3 linked regions of the Mus musculus genome follow. The protein of the gene in region 2 interacts with the protein of the main gene of each other region in a pairwise test. Links are inferred from orthologs where the notes say so. Each region holds a gene or a part of one and is shown on either strand. Other genes may lie near its edges. The genes, in order: Nek6, Tasor2 and Erh.

The links.
Region 1: the proteins of Tasor2 (region 2) and Nek6 interact in binary tests that used the Homo sapiens proteins (3 or more experiments, as listed by UniProt). The link is inferred for Mus musculus from reciprocal best matches to the Homo sapiens genes TASOR2 and NEK6.
Region 3: the proteins of Tasor2 (region 2) and Erh interact in binary tests that used the Homo sapiens proteins (3 or more experiments, as listed by UniProt). The two-hybrid records come from large-scale screens. The link is inferred for Mus musculus from reciprocal best matches to the Homo sapiens genes TASOR2 and ERH.

What each region holds. Positions count from the first base shown.
Region 1 is NC_000068.7:38,560,068-38,563,720, forward strand, and holds part of Nek6 (serine/threonine-protein kinase Nek6), read left to right. Parts: intron 1-813; coding exon 814-924; intron 925-3,653. UniProt on the Homo sapiens protein: Protein kinase which plays an important role in mitotic cell cycle progression. Required for chromosome segregation at metaphase-anaphase transition, robust mitotic spindle formation and cytokinesis.
Region 2 is NC_000079.6:3,566,005-3,569,657, forward strand, and holds the end of Tasor2 (protein TASOR 2), read right to left. Parts: intron 3,638-3,653; coding exon 3,484-3,637; intron 2,854-3,483; coding exon 2,748-2,853; intron 1,614-2,747; coding exon 1,432-1,613; intron 1,029-1,431; coding exon 914-1,028; intron 664-913; coding exon 660-663; 3' UTR 31-659; downstream 1-30.
Region 3 is NC_000078.6:80,634,087-80,637,739, reverse strand, and holds part of Erh (enhancer of rudimentary homolog), read left to right. Parts: intron 1-129; coding exon 130-250; intron 251-3,212; coding exon 3,213-3,315; 3' UTR 3,316-3,653. UniProt on the Homo sapiens protein: May have a role in the cell cycle.

The sequences.
Region 1 (3,653 bases), on a different chromosome or scaffold from region 2:
ATCATTTGTCTGTCGTAGCCACCATATAAAGATGAGAATCCAAGTCACAAATGGGAGACAATACTAGCACACCTTATTACCTCATCAAGAAAGGTCTTGTGCATAGGTTTGCTGACAGATCAATACTGATAAATACATAATCCAGGGTCTAATGCAGTCTGATCTGTTGAGTATTTTCAGAGTTTCGGGGTATCGAGGTCCCTACCTCCACTTTACCTTATGCCCAGTCCCATGGCTCCTAGCATCCCCTGGGACGTGCTGGCCTCTCCTCACACGGGATCTTCGCACAAGCCATACCAACTCAAATCTTTGGCCTCAATTATTCTCATTAGACCTGAGAAAGCAGCTTTTCCTGCTGGCACAGACTAGCTGGGCTCAAAGACTTCTGGAGCATTTAGAAAACATGCTGTCAGTCAGACCCTGGCTGTCAGCTGTCTGAGCAGTGCCAACCCCGCTGTAGTGGTATTGGGAATCCTCTCTTGCTCCCCAAGACCCAGTAGCCATGTAGGTCACCACCTGGGAGGGTCCTCTTCCAGATGGAGCTGATTTTTACCACCCTGCCTGGGTTCCACCCACTTCCTCATCTTGGAGTCCATGAGTGAGAGAGTCAGTCAGAGGCGCTTAGGGTGGGAAGGATACTTAGTTTCCAAGGGACTTCTGAGACTTTGAGAAAGAACAAAAGAGCAGCAGGGAATGCTTCACTTCAGTGAAGCCAGGAGCTGAGCCTGAGCAGAGGCTGGAGGGGCCGTGGGGGTGGGGGGGCGGCACTGGAGCCACGCCACTCATCGCTGGCCACTCCCCCTTCTGGTGCAGCAACTGAACCATCCGAATATCATCAAGTATCTGGACTCCTTCATCGAAGACAATGAGCTGAACATTGTGCTGGAGTTGGCTGACGCGGGTGACCTCTCACAGATGATCAAGGTCAGGGGCCTGGAGCAGGGCAGCCTCCTCTCAACGGGCATGGGCGGGGCCTGGGGGTGTTATGGAGGCTCGATAACTTGGCCTGGCTCTGACCTCAGCACCTATGTGGGGTACCCTTGTCTTCTTTTCAGGCTTGAGGGGGATGCACAAACAAGGCAGAATGATGCCTGTATAGGATGATGCCTGGGTGCGGGTTGTGGTACACAGAAGGGACCCTTTGGGCCAGCCACACTGCTCCAGCCCAGAGCACTTGGGGACACTTTTCTCAGCAGAAGGAACAGGAACAGTGAACACCTCCAAAGGTCAGACTGTATTTCTGTTTTAGGGCTACTATTGCTGTGATGAAACACCAGGGCCAATAGCAAATTGGACAGGGCAGGGCTTATTTAGTGTACACTTCCACATCCTTGTTCATCACTGAAGAAAGTCAGGACAGGAACTCAAACAGGGCTGAGGCAGGAGCTGGAAGCAGGAGCTGATGCAGAGGCCTTGGAGGGGTGCTGCTCACTGGCCTGCTCTTCATGGCTTGTTCAGCCTGCTTGCTTTCTTTTTTTGTTTTGTTTGGTTTTTTGTTTTGTTTTTTTGAGACAGGGTTTCTCTGTGTAGCCCTGGCTGTCCTGGAACTCACTTTGTAGACCAGGCTGGCCTCGAACTCAGAAATCCACCTGCCTCTACCTCCCAAGTGCTGGGATTAAAGGCATGCACCACCACTGCCTGGCTCAGTCTGCTTTCTTGTAGCACTCAGGACCACCAACCAACACACAGTGGGCTGGGCCCTCCCACATCAATCACTAATTAAGAAGATGCCCTACAGGTTTGCCCACAGCCTGATCTCATGGAGGCACTTTCTTAGTTGAGGTTCCCTCCTCTCAGATGACTCCAGTTTGTGCCAAGTTGACATAGATTGACTCCTTGTCAGCCCGACACACAAGCACATCACTGTTAAGCGCACAGCCTTTCTTTCCTTTCTCAGTCATCCTCAAGATCATACATTAATACCAACGTCATCATAATAATAGAAATCACTTTACAAACTTAAAAAGGAAACCCCACAGTCTTTACAAATTCAAACACTTTAAAAGCTGGCCTCTTTGCCGAGCAGTGGCACACACCTTTAATCCCAACACTTGGGAAGCAGGGGCAGGGGGATTTCTGAGTTCGAGGCCAGCCTGGTCTACAGAGTGAGTTCCAGGATATCCAGGACTGCACAGAGAAACCCTGTCTCAAAAAAGCAAAAAACAAAACAAAAAATTGGTCTCTTTAAAAATTCCAAGACTCTTTAAAAATTCCAAGACTCTTTAAAAATTAAAAGTCTTTTAACTGTGGGCTCCTGTAAAATAATAAACAAGCTAAATACTTCCTTACTTCAAGGGGGGAAAAACCAGGGTACAGTCTGAACAAGGTAAAACCAAACCCCAACTATATAAATAACTCAAGTCCAATGTCTGGAATCCACACAGGGTCTTCTGGACTCCTTCAGGGGCTTGCTTGGGTCACTTCTCAGGCTCCACCCTCTGCAGCATACACAAATGGTTTTCTAGGCTCTGACTGGGTCCACTCCACTGCTGCTGCTGCTCTTGCTGGTTCTCCCATGGTACAGGCATCTCAAACTGTAGAGTCTTCTGTTGCAACTGGATTGCACCAATTGCGCCTCCTGGGCTCTCTTCTTGGTGCTAAGGCTCAGACTCTTTTCATGACCCCTTCAGTTCTGGGGCATTAGATGCTACTCTGGCTGTACCTTCACCACTGTCCTTTCCTGTCCTCTCATCGTGCCAAGCCTTGGCTGCTCTCCATGACCCCTGCATCCCTTTGGAGCTACCTGGGTGACTCTTACACTACAAAGTTCAGCTACTAGCACAAGGTACAACCTTGGGTGCCTCTGAACACACGTCCTCTGTGTTGATCTTCAGGAAACACTTCCAAGGTTTCACCTCAGTGATGCTGGTCTCTTCTTAATCACTACTAAGTGCTCAGCTCTAGCCGACCAGCAAAGCAAGGTTTCCCTTTAGCGGTTATGGTCCCTTGTTAATCACCGCCATTTTTTCAGCCCCTGTTAAACAGAACCACAGATTCTTAATTCAAAATATGTAGCGGCCCATTAAATGACATATCCTTTGGTTCCAGCTGCCATTTCCTATAGGAGGGGAAACTGAGGCCTAGAAAGGCTGCCTTGTCTGAGAACACCCACTATAGAGGAACTGTGTTTACCAGGCCTGGCACTGGCTGGAGGTCATGGTCTCCACACAGCCTACACAGCCTTTGGACAGGTGTTGTCTTCATTATCCATAGTGAGGATTCCATGCCTGCTCTGTGAGGGATTAAGCAACTTTAACCCCCTAAAACTCAGTGCCATGTTCTCTGATATTCCTAAGCTTTCTTGTCCCCATCCCAGGTCTCAGGAGTGGAGCTACCATAGATAGGTTTGGCTTCAGGGACATGGCAGCTCCACTTGGAGAGTGCTGCCATCAGCCACAGCCATGCTGAAACACTGAGCTCAGAGAGGTTTAGTGTCCAGCCAAAGGCAGCACAGCCTGTAAGTGGAAAAGCCCTCACCCATAGCTTCTGATACTTGCTTCTCCTTCAAGGCCCACATGTCCCTGCTTGCATGGGTCCTCATCTCTAGCCCCTAAAGTGGAGCCCCATCACCTGCCTCCCCTGAACCTTGTCTGTGTGTCCTCAGTAAAGCCAGGCCACGCTCAAGCCCCACACTGAACTCCCAGATGTGTTTG
Region 2 (3,653 bases):
CCTAAATGTTGCACACAGACTACAAATGACTGCATTTTCAATTCTTTATTTAAAAAAAAAAAAAAAAGACAACACAAAACAACAAAAAAAACCAAACTAGAAACTAGGTATAAAAGCCTAAGTATACAAATGGTTTTTTTCTTGTTTGTATTTTAAAGATTTAAGAAGTTTCTAATATCATAAATAAAGGATTTCTTCCTCAATTGACTTTTGTAGTGCAGCATTAAAAAACCCAAGTGTAAAAATTTGTCATTTACAAAAAATTTTCTTTATCTATGTAGTGTTTCTTACGTAACAGCAAATAACCATTACAGATTATACTTTCTACAATGTGGTAAAACCTCTCAAACATGCAGTTCTTAATCCTCTGACCATATGCAAAAACAGCTATTTCTCAAAATAGACTTAGCTTTAGCCACATAAACGTGAGGGTCTCAAGTTTTAATATTTAGATCAATTAATAGTTCTGAACGCATTATGTTTAGGTTGAAAATAATTTACAACAATATTCAGCATTATAACCCAAAGCTAATGCTTTGATGAGAAGCAAAACATTATTCAAATGACAGTTGTTTGTATGTATGTATTTGGAGTTTTTTAGACACAGGAAAAATATGAAGTTCTTGTTGATGTACTCCATGTATAGCCAACTCCCAAAATTACCTGTAGGAACACAAAAATGGTAAGAAAATGAGCAAGAAATACAACTGGGACAATAGGGGGGAAAGGCCTATGTGTCATATATCAGTTTACCAGGTCAACCCAGACTGGCTACAAGTGACATCACTGGACAAAGTTAAAGCTGGCTGATTAATCAAAGAGCAGTTTTTGATCAGCATTTTCCCCCCTCAGTGGCAGATACCTGCTGCCAATAACTCCAGTTTCCAAGGGGAGTTTTACAAAAAGTTCTTACCAATAACTACTCCTAAATGGAGCTGCTATCTTTTGTATATTTTCAGTGAAGTAGTTTACATCTGTAACAAGGATTCCATTATTTTCAAAGATTTCTGTGGAAACTGTGGGCTTGTCTGTAAAGGAAGGGGAAAAAAAATCTATGATAAAAGGCCAGGGTTTTTCATTTGTTCAAGGTAGCAGAATTCATTAAAGTGAGAAGAGAAATGAAGACTTCAGGGCAGGATGGGTAGAGGGAAGGGATATAAGCTACAACTGTACCAGCTTCAGAAAGCCAGACAGTCCACCTAAGACTTAGAAGATGTGATATAGTAAAACATGCATATGTAGGACCTGATAATTAGAAGAGTGTTAACTAGACAAACACTCCTTGGCAAGCATCCTCTGGACTTACAAGCATTTGTCAAAACACATGCTACTAGCTAAGGCATTCAATAACTAATTAGGAAGGATATTTCTACAGCTGTCCTGGGGTAGCATTAACTGAGTAGTGAAGATTACAATTTAGCTTATATTTACCTGTTAGGAAGACAGCAAACCTGGCACTGATATGTTGAATTTGCAAGTTTAACAAGCATTTAAAAATTTCAGCTTTTGTTGATGATGGAGAATCACAGTTGTGATAATGAAGTAAGTCAATGATATTTACACTCTGATATGACTTTAGAATTAGATTCTTTTTATGTGCAATTGAATCTACCCTGTAATATACAAAGAAATGTTAGTACCTTTTCTTGCTTAAAATTCATTTTAAATTGTGTATTTGAGGTTGAAAAGGTATACACGTGAATGTAGGTACCCTAAGAGTCCAGAAGAGGGTGTTTGCTTTCCTGGACCTAGTTTTAGAAGCAGTTTAGGCCATGCTGGGAACTGAATTTGGATCATCTCTCTTAACTATAGAACCATCTCTAACTGTCTTTCATTTTAAGTAGTTGTATTAAAACACTTGGTCAACAAGCCTGTGCTTTTTTCTTAATGATCTTGTATTTAATGTCCTGATTAGCTGCCTCTAAACATTATATAATAATTATATAATAATGACACCTTTGAAAATAGATTGTAACCTTGGGCCTCATTCCAAGGCCCAAGTCACAACCCATGTAGCTTCTGCCACTTCAACCATTTATGTTAGCAACTTCAAAGTTCTTAGGCAGTCATACAAATAGAACCACTTTCTCACTAGACTTAGTGGACGTTTCCACTTATTATATCAATGCTAGGGATATGTGGTGGAGTCAGTCAGCAAAGAACCTGCTGGGTAAGCATAAGGATGTGACCACAGAAAATGCCAGGTGTCATAGCACACACCCAGGGTGACAGGCTCACTGGCTAGCCAACCAGCCTGCTGCAATAGATGAGTTCCATGGTTAATGTGACCTCTCAAAACATACATTGGACAGTGACAGAAGACATCTGATGTAGGCCAAGCTCCATGCAACCTACACAAACACGGGCATATACCACACACATATAACAGATCATTGCTTTAGATTAAGGTGACTTGCCTCCTGTTAATCTGTTAAACCCTGACAACTCAATATATGACTAAGTACCCACAAAAAGCACTAGCACTAAGCTTACTGCTCACTATGTCTGCAGCTTATGGCAGCAGAGCCTGACTTAACTGTGGGTGTTAATCCTGACTCAAAATGTTGCTATAAATACTTTGCACTGAATGCCCTACTATAAAAACCAAATCCCAAAGCTAACCAGCAGACATAAACCTTAGGAATGTGACTCCCATGCTAACACTACTTTCTGGCTGTGGTGCTTGAATTACACTAAGCACAACAAACATTGGACCAGGGGCTCCTGCACCCTTCACACACACTGACCTGACGTCTTCCTTGAGATTTTTACTTTCTCTGTAGTGAAGCAGCCACTTCCATTTGCCATTTTCATTTAGTTTTTCTAGGATTTTGAGAATTTCCTTCAGTTGAACTGCAGAGTAAGTTAAGTATGAGAAGAAGTATCTTAGTTTTTGTTGCAAGGTCCATTGCCACTTATGAACAACATTTGTCTCCACTGGCAACATCAGTGACTCCACAAACTATTCTATCTGGTCATGCTATAATGGCAAAGATCATTTTATAACATGATCAGTGCACATTAATGCCATTAGGGAATAGAGATTGCCACCACTTTTTCAGATTCACTGCAGTACAGAACAGCATTCATCAGGAAGCCAAATGACCACAATACAAGCATGTAAGTGAGGAAAAGAACCTTCACTCACTGGGGAAGGAACTGAAATCTGAACAATTTAATAATTGGTCTAAATTTCTCTGCAAATTCTAGAAATATAGTTCCCAAATGAACCAGCTATTATACACCAAGGTTATATATGCAAAGCCTTGGTATCTAGCTTGTGTTACATGTTTATTGGACTCTGTTCACAATAGCTATGAACATAAATGTCCATCAATTGAATTACTATAGTAAAAGCATGTAGTGCAGCAATTGGCACAAATTAAGCCCTCAATATACAGTAAGTGATTTCTTTTTGATGAAACAGTATGTCACTGGAAGAAGAGAAACTGAACTAATTAGATTTCAAAATTAAAGACTAACCTAATGTTAAACTTTCTAGTATGACATCATCTGATACCACAAAGCCGCCTGATCGAAACAGCTCTTGGTAGGTTTCATTTACAATGTCTTCAGGGCTGTCCACTCCAGCAAAGACGACACTGGGGAAATGCTTTAGCTTCAGTAGAGAAGGAATCTGTTATGACATAAAG
Region 3 (3,653 bases), on a different chromosome or scaffold from region 2:
AGTTATCAATACTGTCATAAATTTAAATTGCTAATCACAGAAATTAAAGTGGCCAGCCAGCAGTCCTTTTCCAGGTCAATCTTCCTCCGGCAGATACAGCGCTGCTTACGTTCTCGTGCTCCCCCACAGGTGTTTGTAAAATGTATGAAGAACATCTGAAGAGGATGAATCCCAACAGCCCTTCCATCACATACGATATCAGCCAGTTGTTTGATTTTATTGACGATCTGGCAGACCTCAGCTGTCTGGTGTAAGTATTAGCCACTATATCTTTTAATTTGTATTTTTCTGGTTTTTGTCCATTTATATAGTTGCCAGTGTTTCACTTACATGTAAATAAAAAGTTAAAATGATACTATAGAGCTGAAGGCATGAGGGGCTTGGCAGTTGCTAGCGTGAGGTGAGGATAGACGGGCTCCACGTTGTGTGGGATAGTCCTTGTCTTGGGTTCTTAGCCCTTTTACTTTTTCCTAAAGTAATTGTTTTCAGATTAAAACCAAGGGTCTGTTCTTAAAGTCTAATTTAGTCCTACCTGTGTAAACAGGGCTTGTTTTGTTTCGTTGGTGTGAGGTTTCAGATTCTGACGTGCTTGTTACATTTTATTGTCAGTAGTACTGAGGTAAAGTGGTACACCTTGAACCAGACTATAGACTAGATTGGCACTTATTTAATTAGAACATATGAACAGAGCGTGATCCTAGGAAATTATTCACTTGTTGGAAATTTCCATAAAACAGCATTAGTAAAGAACTGATTGTTTATATTTGATTAGGCGTGTTAGACAATGGGAAGTCTATGCGCTGTAGTAAACGACCTCTGGCCTGACTGCAGAAAAAATTGGTGTTGGTAATATAGAGCATTCCTTATTTGGAGTTTATTTAGCATTCCTTATTTGGAGTTTATTTTCCTTATTGGAAATTGGCCCCATGGGGGCGGGGGGTACAGGCTTATAATTTCAGCTAATTGAGAGGGTGAGGCAGGAGGATGGAAAGTTTAGTTTAAGGCTAGACAACTTAGTGTAGACTTGAGTGTGTATAGCTCAGGGTAAACTGCCTGCTTACCAGGCACGAAGCCCCATTTCAGTCTTCAGTGCTGTGAATCATAATAGTGTAGCTTTTTAGCTTAGTAGATCCTGGTGAGGGCTCTGATGCCTGGATGTTGAGCTGTACTGTGTATAGTGGGTGACAAGATTTATAATCTGAGGGAAATGAATCTTGCCCAGCACCACTTGGCTATTAGGTTGCTTCACGTTCACCCTTGATTTTCTTACTTCCTTTTTATTTTTAAACATAATTGTAGCTACTTACAGGAATATTTTTTAGAAAGATGAAGAGAGGGGCTGGTGAGATGGCTCAGTGGGTAAGAGCACCCGACTGCTCTTCCAAAGGCCAGGAGTTCAAATCCCAGCAACCACATGGTGGCTCACAACCATCCGTAACAAGATCTGACGCCCTCTTCTGGAGTGCCTGAAGACAGCTACAGTGTACTTACATATAATCAATAAATAAATCTTTAAAAAAAAAAAAAAGAAAGATGAAGAGAGCTAATTCAGATACTTAAAGTAATATCCTGTGCTTAGTAACAACTTTGTGGGGTTGGGGGTTGAGGCAGGGCTTCTCTGTTTAGCCCTGGCTGTCCTAGAACTCACCCTGTAGTAAACCAGGCTGGCCTTGACTTAGAGATTCACCTGCCTCTGCTTCCCAAGTGCTGGGATTAAAGGCCTGTGCCACCACCTGGCTAACTTTAATTTTAAAACATACTATCACTTGTTTAATTTATTATTTTTATTATTATTATTTGTATGGTTGTCTTGTCTGCATCTTATGTCTGTTAACTACATGTATTTCTGATGCTCTCAGGGGCCAGAAGAGAGGTGTCAAATCCTCTGGAACTGGAGTTACGTACAAATGGATATGAGCTGTTGTGTGGGTATTGGGAATTGAACCCAAGGTCCTCTGGAGCCATCTTTCGAGCACCCTCCCCCCAGTTTGTCTTTTAGGTTTGTTAGTTTGTTTGAGATAGGGTTCCACTGTGTATCCCTGACTGTCCTGAAACTTGCTCTGTAGACCAGGCTGGACTCAAATTCAAATCTGTCTGCCTCCAAGTGCTGGGATTCTATACCACCACACCTGGTGCTTTCCTTCCCTTGTTATACTACAGATTTTTGTTTGTTTGATATTTTCTGTGTATAGGTATTTTCGTCTGCATATATGTCTGTATACTGTGTACATGCAGTGCCTTCAGAAGACATTGGATCCCCTGGTACTGGAGTCACAGCAGACCCATGTGATCTTTACATGTGGGTGCTGGGGAATCAAACCCAGGTCCTCTAGATAGAGAGCAACCAGTGCTCTTAACCACTCCCTAAGCTGTCTCTCCATCCTTGTACTGCTGCGTTAGTGTGTATTCCTCCACATAGAGTTGAGTTTCAGGCCAGCTGGAAAGTGTCTGTTCAACTCTCATAAAGATAACCTTGACTGACTCAGTGTACTGCAGACCCTGAAAACCTGCTGCTGCTGCAAGTCTTCCTGCCTTCCCCTTCCCTTCTAAAAGAGATGCTCTTCTGATATTTTCATCTGTAGGCCTTTGGTTTTTATTTTTATAAGCAAATCTTAAAAACTATGAGTTCCTTAAATAACAGGAAATCATTATTGAATTAATATTCTACTAGAGATTTCTTAGTTGATTTCTTAGAATAAGTTGAGCAAACCTAAACCTTGTACTAGTGTTTAGCTATTGCTATTAATCACTAAAGGAATTATAAAAAATAGATCAATAAAAAATGAAGCTATGTAGTAGGAAAAAACACAAGGTTTTTGGTTAGAAAGTGTGTTAACTGAGTGCTTCAGAGTTCTGGGCCTTGGCTTTTATCACCATCAGATCATACTAGGTGATACAGATCTGTTTGTTAAAACAGCAGCATTGGGTTAGAGACATGGCTCAGTGGTAAAGACTGCTCTTCCAGAGGTTCTGTGAGTTCAATTCCCAGCAACCACATGGTGGCTCACAACCATCTGTAATGGGATGCCCTCTTCTGGTGCGTCTGAAAGAGAGCAGCTGTGCTCATATACCTAAAATAAATAAACCTTTAAAAACAAAACAAAAAACCCACAGCAGCATTGTCCACTTTTGGTTCTCTTCATGTGTAAAAATGTGCAGGTTGAAGCCACCCTGGGCAGTTCTAACTGACCGCTGTAACTTTCTGTTCTCAGTTACCGAGCTGATACACAGACATACCAGCCGTATAACAAAGACTGGATCAAAGAGAAGATCTACGTGCTCCTCCGTCGGCAGGCCCAACAGGCTGGGAAGTAATTGAGTCGGAAGCATTGGGGCTGGGGGTGGACTTGGAACAGGTACATACAGCGTGCTGTAGTGAACCTTTTGTATGATAGCGATCCTGTTTCAACGTTGTTACACTCAAGCCAAGATTGAATGTCTGACATGAACCGTGAATGATCTTGTCACTCTGAAGCCACCGTGGCCCTTTGCTCCTTTACTTTCATTTTTTTACTTAAACATTTTTATGATAATACAAATAGAAAACATTTTTGCCATTTAAGGTTGGTTCCGGTCCTTGAAACTGTCGAGTCTGCTTTTAAGCAGTGAGCGCACTAACCCTTTGTGGGGGTGGGGTGGGGACAAGGTTAGTC